2 linked regions of the Saccharomyces cerevisiae S288C genome follow. The protein of the gene in region 1 binds, or shares a complex with, the protein of each later gene. Each region holds a gene or a part of one and is shown on either strand. Other genes may lie near its edges.

Evidence for each region.
Region 2: RSC1 (region 1) and RSC6 share a complex: the UniProt entries of both Saccharomyces cerevisiae proteins name them as parts of the two forms of the RSC complex.

What each region holds. Positions count from the first base shown.
Region 1 is NC_001139.9:599,694-604,197, reverse strand, and holds the start of RSC1 (RSC subunit protein RSC1), read right to left. Parts: upstream 2,538-4,504; coding exon 1-2,537. Other genes in the region: MUP1 (Mup1p), read right to left, coding at 3,057-4,504. UniProt on the Saccharomyces cerevisiae protein: Component of the chromatin structure remodeling complex (RSC), which is involved in transcription regulation and nucleosome positioning. RSC is responsible for the transfer of a histone octamer from a nucleosome core particle to naked DNA.
Region 2 is NC_001135.5:213,028-217,079, reverse strand, and holds RSC6 (Rsc6p), read right to left. Parts: upstream 2,087-4,052; coding exon 635-2,086; downstream 1-634. Other genes in the region: threonine synthase THR4, read right to left, coding at 1-383; YCR051W (uncharacterized protein), read right to left, coding at 2,341-3,009; YCR050C (uncharacterized protein), read left to right, coding at 3,308-3,616; ARE1 (sterol acyltransferase), read right to left, coding at 3,319-4,052. UniProt on the Saccharomyces cerevisiae protein: Component of the chromatin structure-remodeling complex (RSC), which is involved in transcription regulation and nucleosome positioning. RSC is responsible for the transfer of a histone octamer from a nucleosome core particle to naked DNA.

The DNA.
Region 1 (4,504 bases):
CTCGGCGGAGGATTAAAAATATTAGCAATCATATCTTCGCTGAAGTCATTTGGTGGTTCCATAACATCTTCTTCAATGTCTTCGTAATCCAGTTTTCTCCTTTTGTTTTTACAGAACCATCTATTCAAAGGTACCCGTACTAAATCATTTCCGGAATCAATAACTCTCTCTGTGATTTTTACACCGGGCCCTTTGAACCATATTATTTGCTCATTTGCAGTATTTATGTCATTAATAGCAGTATTACCGAGATTTTGAGCGTTTTTTAGATTTGATCTACTGAAACGTTCTGTCGATTGGATGGTTCTTATATTTTTTTCCATTGGTACAGGAACCACAAATGCACCCGGGGCTTCAATAACAATATGGTTGAAGTTGTACTTCGAGGTATGAGCAGTTAAGGTATTAATCATTGAGGATAATGTAAAACTTTTAGATGCAGGCTTTTTGGGAGCTGTTGATGATAGCTGTGTCTGTTTTTTTGCACTATGGTATTTAGAGCGACTACTCTGTTCTAATAAAGAGGGCGATTGAAACTTAGGAACGGAAGGATGTGATAGTAAATTATGAGAACTATTATTCATGTTTTCTAATTTCAAAAAATTGGAAGTCTGATTGAAGTTCTGATGCAATAGTGGAGTATTTGATGAGGACCTGAAATTGGAGCTGGGAATTGATTTAGTCTGCTTTAAAGTGGGTAAACGTATTGTGGAGGAACTGTTCACTCTGGGCATACTGCTTGTGGTTAAGGTATCTGTAATTATTGTTCCTGTTTCGTAATCTATTTTACCTTCTTCTGGTGGATCATTTGGTCTGATTATGTATCGAGGGCAGTCATCAGAAGTTGAATACTCTCCCAGATCATCCCTCTCTAATTTGGGGCCTAAATATACAGCGCCTACCAAAGGTGGGGCAGTTGGGGCTCCCTCCGTGGGTTCTGGAACTTTGTCATTTAGAGTTGCGTTTGCTGGTAACAAATCTGCTATTGGAGAAGGGTATTTAAAAAATTTTCTTCCATTAACAGGTATCGTAGGCTCATCTTGGTCACGGAGTTCTTCCGGCAGGCAAGCTTTCCAAGTCCTGATTTTGTTGAAAACCTTATCACTTTCATTATAACGGAATTCGCAAACAAATTGAGGACCATTGACTTTCGTGCTAGGATCCCCACGCTGGAATCTGGTAAAATGAATAACGTAGCACTTTCCCTTAATATCCTGAATAGGATGATCTCTATATTGACCAGTTTTCATGACCTCATTCTTGTAGAATAACCTATCCACCCGATGAACGGTTTGTTCTGGCCTAAAATACCAGCAAGCATTCAACCATTTGTTTCCATCTGTAGTAGACCATAATCTAAAAATCTGGCCAACAATGGGTTTATTGATGTCGTTTGGATTATGTAAAAGAACCCAATCACCTATCTGGTATTTCTCATCATTGATTTCTACATCATCTAGAGGATATCTTAATTCACCTTCAGGTAAATAGTCTTCATCAGGTTTGGATAATTCAATTCGCACTAATCTATTGAAGTTTTTCTCCAATAGTTGAGCTCGTATTATATTGCTCTGATCTTGAGAATAATAAAGCTTAAAATTTGTTAGCATTAATTGAAAGTCTTCCTCAAAAGTATGGAAATTTCTATATTTTCTGGACTTAACCTTTTTCCTAATATCCATTAGACAAATGGGATCTGTTATGACAGAGTAATAGGTTGGCTCCTCGTTTCTATCTGGTAGTTTTTCAAAACAGAGGGTAAGCGTCTTATTATTTTGGTCGACCTCTCTTCTCATCATCTTCAAGATATTCTTAATCCTCAGTACATAGGGTAGATCAATTACTGGTGGTCTACCGCGTCTAACATGGGTTTTGGGATGCGCCGAGGTAATATTTGCATAGTTAACAACTGGAGTAGGTGAAGCCAGCGGCTGCGGTGTTATAGAAGCAGAATGGGTTGGAAACGCTGGTGAGTTTTTTTGTTGCATCCTGTAATCTTGGTTGGTTGGTTTCCTTTCAGTGATCGAACTATCTAGTTTTGCGAAAGCCATTTTCATCTCTGGATTTAAGCCAGCCTTTTCATCATTTTCCTGTGTATTAATGGGGTTCGAGGATAAATCGGAGGGTTGCATACTCTCTGCGAATATTTCCGGAATTCGACCTAGAGATGGATATGTCACCTCGGGATAATGTTTTCTTATATTGTGCACGATCTTTCCTTTAATAAAAGACTCAAGAAGAATGGCATATTTGTAAATTACTGAATCTTTTGCATTGTATGTCATTGCATTCCAAGGAATTTGCGCAAAATCGTTAACAAAATCTTGTGGCGATGTATAATGGGGCAATCGTTTCTTTAAAGTGTTTAAAGATATCGGATTCCTTATTATAATGTAATAGTCTGGATATTCTTTTTTAGGTGGCAGTACATTGAATATTGGATATATTTCTATACCATTTTCATCCTTTAAATGGAAGACAGCATCGTATTGTGTTTTGAGTAGCTTCTGTAAAAACCCATTATCTTGCTCCACCATGCTTGAAATATAATTTTTTTTATCTCTGTTTTGTAGCTAGGGCACTTCACAGATTTTCCCTTCGCTAATACCACACTGTTCCGCCAACTCAGCTTAATTTCAGTTGTAACTCAATTGGGCCTTTGATTAATAAAAAAAAAAGCTTTCCCGAGACAACAATCACTATTGACGGAAAGAGGGTAAGGGAGCAATAAAGAACTATATAAAACGTTAGACAAACGATTTTATAGAGCGCTTATCTGTGTTTATAGCGTTGCTGATAGATTTAGTTAATTCCAATTTGAATCTATCTCATCAGCAATTCATGATATTGCTTTTTCTTAGTATGCTATTTTGATTTCGCGCAATAGTAGGTATAAAAATTGAAAAAATACGAAACGGAATAGCATCTTAAACTATTAAATGGCAGAAATTATAATGAGGTTTGGTACCTATATATTTTGTATAAAGAAAATGCAATTATAAGAATGTTCATACGTGATTATAAGAATCGAGATGAGATGGTAAGTACCTTTTTGGTTACAGCGATTTTTCTTGTTCACTTTTGTAATGTTCGATTATATTCGTTTCAATAACGCCGTCTTCTTGTGTATCGACATCGCCAATAGTGTCATCATAAACTTTGGCAATTTTGACTCTCCAGAACCCATCTTCACCAAGCACATCCTTGGAAACCAATTTGTAGTGGCCCCATCTTGGCAATAATTGGGCCCAAACAACGTAGTAAACACCACCAAAGAAGAAAATACCCCAAGCAATTACACAGTGGATCCAGTATGGCATGCTTGAATACACCGACTCGCCATTTGAAGGTGGAACGTAAGGAGCAATAATCAGGTATAAATTGGATAATGTGAAAAATCCCGTAACAAAAACACCGGCCTTAATTGGTGGGTTCCATTCAATTTTACCTTGTCTACGTTGCCAGTATATCCAAAGCAAACCCGCGCTAATGGCAAAATTAATAATATTCATTGGGTAGGAAATTAAATTTTGGACTAGCAAATATGCATCACCTGGAGGTGGGGCTAAAATGGTTACTGTACAAACAATAAAATGTTGAAACAAACCAACCATTGGGGAGTTGAATGGCTTAGAAGAGGCAAAGAAATTAGAAAAGGGCAACACACCTTCACGTCCTAGTTGTTGAATAATTCTACCCTGAGAAAAAATGACAGAAAGAACATTTCCTAAGGCACTCAACCCGACCAGTGCGGCTGCTGCTCTCTTGGCTTGGCCGCCAAACACAATATCGAAGAAGTCAGCAGCTAAAATCAATTTTGAAGAAATTAACTTATCTTTTGGAACCACAGCGAAGTAAGCAATGTTCACAAAAATGTAGATTATAGCCAAGAAGACCATCGATGTAGGACCAGCAATCTTCAAAGTTCTCACAGGGTTCTTAACTTCACCAAGTGCATAGTTAACATTGGAGTAACCGACAAACGACCAAATAACACTATATAAGGCGTTAACAATACCATAAGCAGTGGCGGTTTCAGTACCTTCAAAAGCATTACGAAAGTTGTGAGATTGATAACCATCTTTGAGACCACCGCCAAGGGCAACCCAACCGGTAATAGAAATGAAGAGGACAATACCAATCTTGAAAATACCTAAAATGTTTTGCAAATATAGACCAATCTTGACATTCAGAGAATTAATTAGGAATGCAAAAAAAACGACGGCCACACCAATACCTCTTTGATTCCATTTGGTCACTTCAGTATCAGCAGCAGTTAAAAACATAATAGCTGTATTGATGGAATTACCAGCAGCCCAACCTAGGAAGAAAATATACGCAGCATACATACAGGTAATGAAGAATTTTGGTTTCCTGAAAATAGCCTCCAGGTAGTTTTTTTCACCACCATTTTTCGGTATAGCCGTACCGAATTCCATGTATACATATAACCCAGAAATGGCAATAATGGCGCCAACTGCCCACATAATTAATGCAAGCCCCA
Region 2 (4,052 bases), on another chromosome or scaffold:
AAAGCAACGTCTTTGAAAGCGTAGGTAGGACCGTGGAATAATTCTAAAATGTGCAAATTCTCCTTGTCACCAGTGACGTTTTGCACCAAGGGGGTGACTTCATCAGAACGGAAAGTAGAATAAGATCTCTTGATCAAGTCCTTTAGATCAGCATCTGGAATCTCTTCTTGGGCAATGTATAGTCTCATGATAGCAAAGGCTAAGTCTTGGAAGGAGAGCTTTGACCAATCATTGAAAAGAGTGGCTTGGTCCACTTGTGGAATAGTTGGTGGAATGAAAAGACCACCGTCAGTGGCCAGACCTTGAATGATAGCCTCTTCAAAAGAGATTGTCTTTGGAGAGCTGGATCTGGTAGATCTGTAAACTTGGGAAGCGTTAGGCATTGGTGTGAGGGATGGTGGCCGTCTAAGAACAAATATTTGCTGCTATACTACCAAATGGAAAAATATAAGATACACAATATAGATAGTATTAAAAAAACGTGTATACGTTATTGATAGAAATGACTATACATTTTGTCGAAAATTTTTCATTTTCTTCTATTTCCTCGTTGTAATGACTCTTTTGTTCGCACGGTCACTACTCACGAGGAGGCGTGCAATAATTGCAGAAAGAATGAGATCATACAGTGATGTTATAGTCTTCCTTGGGAGTACAGTAGTGAGATATTGCCCATTAGTGACCTGTCATTGTTGTTGTTACTGTATATGTCACTCGTTCTTGCAGCATCTTCATTGAAGTATTGGTCGCCCTGCAGCACAAGCTCGTTTTGCTTGGAAGACCATAAGTAGTGAGTCAGCGTTTCTCTTGGATGCAAAGACAGTTCGTGGAAAAACTGGTATTTTTGAGCACTAGAGTTCAACTGCAAGGCAAGCTTTGTGATTTCACGTAGTTTTGCTGTGTCTTCAGCATCTGTTTCTTCCTCTTTTTGTAAATTTGGCTGGGGTTGAGGCTGGTGGAGAATGTGCGACACATCTACATCCAAGGTGGTAGCACCATAGGTGGTATCTTTGGAAAGATCAATTGTATAATCTAGGATGATGGGCGGTAGGGGTGATACCAGTTTGTTCACGGTTTGCACAACATTCATCAAGGGGAGGTGCGCGGCGTTTGTATCCAATACCTTTTGTAAGAGTGAATCTAGCTTCACTTCACCCAATTCGGGCTTATCCTTTGGAGTACTTCCCTCGACGCCATCATCGTCACCAGCACCGTTTTTATTGTTATTCTCGTTACTGCTGTCTTCGGCATCGTTGGAACCATCTTGAGCCTCTGTTTGTTCCGTAACAAACAGATTGTTGATCAAAATGTACTTGTAGATCGAATAAACCGCGTCATTAACGGAGCCCGTTTGCATACCTATCAAGGTAGCTAAGTTGGGCGAGTACTGTACTTTTCCACCGTCGACACCCCTCAACTGGATGGTTATACTGCATCGCAAATTATCCTTGCCTTGCCTCTTGATGTCGATACCATCAAACTCCACAACGTTGTTTTCATCGTAGTTCCATTCCAGTGCGTCTACAATTTCCTCCCTGGATTCTGCCTCTGCACTGTCCTCATCCTCGCCGTTGTCGTTATCGCCCATGGTGCTATCTTGATCATTGTATTCGGGTTGTTGCAGATTCAAAGGAAGGCTCAATGACGAATCGCGTTTCCTCTTCTTGCCCATGCCCAGCGGTTTCAGTCTTTTAAAGTCGACCGCGACACCTTCCAAAAACTCACTAAATGGGTGCTTTCCGTTTGCGGACTCGTGCAGAAGCTTACCTTCTATTCTCAGTGTCCATGTAGTCTTGCCTGAGTCCGCTGGGGTGCCAGAATCGCTGCGAGGGCTGCTTTCCGTAGTGTTGTAGACGTAAATCCTCAGCATCTCTTTATTGGGGGGATGGTCCTTGGTCTTGGTGTTTGTAGGTAAATTGATGGACGTATCCAGCCTCCTTCTTGTCAGATACAAATCTAGTCTGGAATCCATTTCTATCAATTTTTTCAAATCTGCCAGATTGGAGACCTTATCATCGGGCAGATACGTGGGGATATAAGCATCCGTTGGATATGTAACAGGGACCGGATTGGTCTGTGTTACCATTTCTATGAGCTGTTTTTCGTGCTGTATTACTATACGAAGCTGCCTTGTGAACTGTATATTTGTTGCTTTTCTTTCACTCTACAACGTTTTTTTCATTCTATTTAAAAACGCGGTGAAATTTTACCTTGTAAGAACGTCTATTAATGTACAGAAAAGATACATAAGGGAAAAGACTATGTAAGAGAAAGAAGTAGTTCATGTAGCGTCGCGTTCAATTTCTTTTAGCAAGCTGTAAGAGCCTTTGTGCTGGGTCGTTATTTTCTTCTCTTGGAATCTGGTTCGTCCCCGGAACCCGCCATGGAGCCCTGGCCCAGCATCTGCTCTCTGACCATAGCACGGATGTACCTTTCCAACTCCTCCTCAGCGTTGTCTCCCGTAATGATCTGTTCCAACTGCCTCCTGCGTTGCAGAGTGGCCTCATCGGCTCCTTCCTCAGGGTCATTTTCCAAGGTGTATCTCACGTTGTCCTTGAACTCTTCCAGCAATTTGCTGTCGATGACACCCTCACCCTGCACGCCGTCCACTCCGTGAACATCGGCCACGCCGGACTTAATCCTCATGTACTCGATTAGCTCACCATCTTCACCGTTCTCGACGAACGAGTCGTATGGCGTTTGGCCCTCCACATTCCTGATAGTGAAGTCTCCACCCAGCTCTTCCACGATCAACCTGGCAGTGGCCACATCCTCCACATGGTGCAACGGGGTATCGCCGTCGTTGTCCAACACATTAATGTCTCCATTGTACTCATTGCACATTTTCTTCAGCAAATCCAGGTGGCCGTATGCGGCGGCAGCATGCATTGGAGTGTAGCCGTTAATGTCCTTGGATTGCGGGGTCATGGCGCCTTTACTCTCGCGGAGGATATGTTCCACTCGGTCCAAATTACCATCTGAAGCAGCCACCCATATATTAGCGTTCATTTTGTCGTCACAACACCTATAATCATCGATTTTTGTCACCTGCAAACTCTTCTTGTTCTCAATTATATCAAAGGCATCGAAAATTTTTGGGGTTATGACAAGGAAAAAAAAAGTATTACCCGAAACTTAAACAATGAATGGTATATACTATATTGTAAAGTTCTAATAATATATATAAATATGTATATAGATATATATATAGACCTAGGAGCTCTTTGCCCCTGTCTTTGACCACGGTGGAGCGGACGCCCATTCCCTATTGTATATCTATCAAGGGCTTGCGAGGGACACACGTGGTATGGTGGCAGTTCATAAGGTCAGGTACAACGTCATAATGATACTGGGCCCTGAACAGACACCAAACGAAAAGACAACGTTGGACAACTGCGGTCTTGCCCGTAGAAACTTGGTGTTGCTCAAAGCAGTCCACACAAACTGCGACAGTTGGAACATGAACAGATATCCTCTAACCCTTCTGAAAATGGCGAACATGGCCATTTCGTGGAACACGGCACTCAAGAAAAAAGTAAATAATGTAGCTTGGCTCTTGCTCAAATGCAATGCGCCCATGGAGCTGTGGTACACGTGTCTTAGTAAAAATTTGTGAACGGGGACGTTCCAGATTCTGCTAAACTCTTCAAACGAAACGCAATTCCACCAGTCGCCGTAGAAATATCTGTCCGCAAACCTGGTCAACTCCGCCACGCAATTCAATAAAGCGTCCCATATCATGTAAAACGTGAGCATGTACAGAACAGTGAAGCCCGGAATCATGTCGAAGAGCAGGTGGAACCACTCTTGCGTGGCGGGGATCCAGCCGCCGAAGGTGGGCGTGTTGTGGAACTGGATACAGCGCATGGCCACCGGGTGCATGAAGAACTGTGCCGTGACCATCATGAGGAAGATGGTGCCAATGATGGCGCACACCTTCTCCAACACATACCTCCATCTGATGCGCGACGTTCTTGGGTAGTTGATCTGGTACACGAGGACGGGGAACAAACAGAACATGAAGAAATTGCTGCAACTGATGTTGTTGGGGA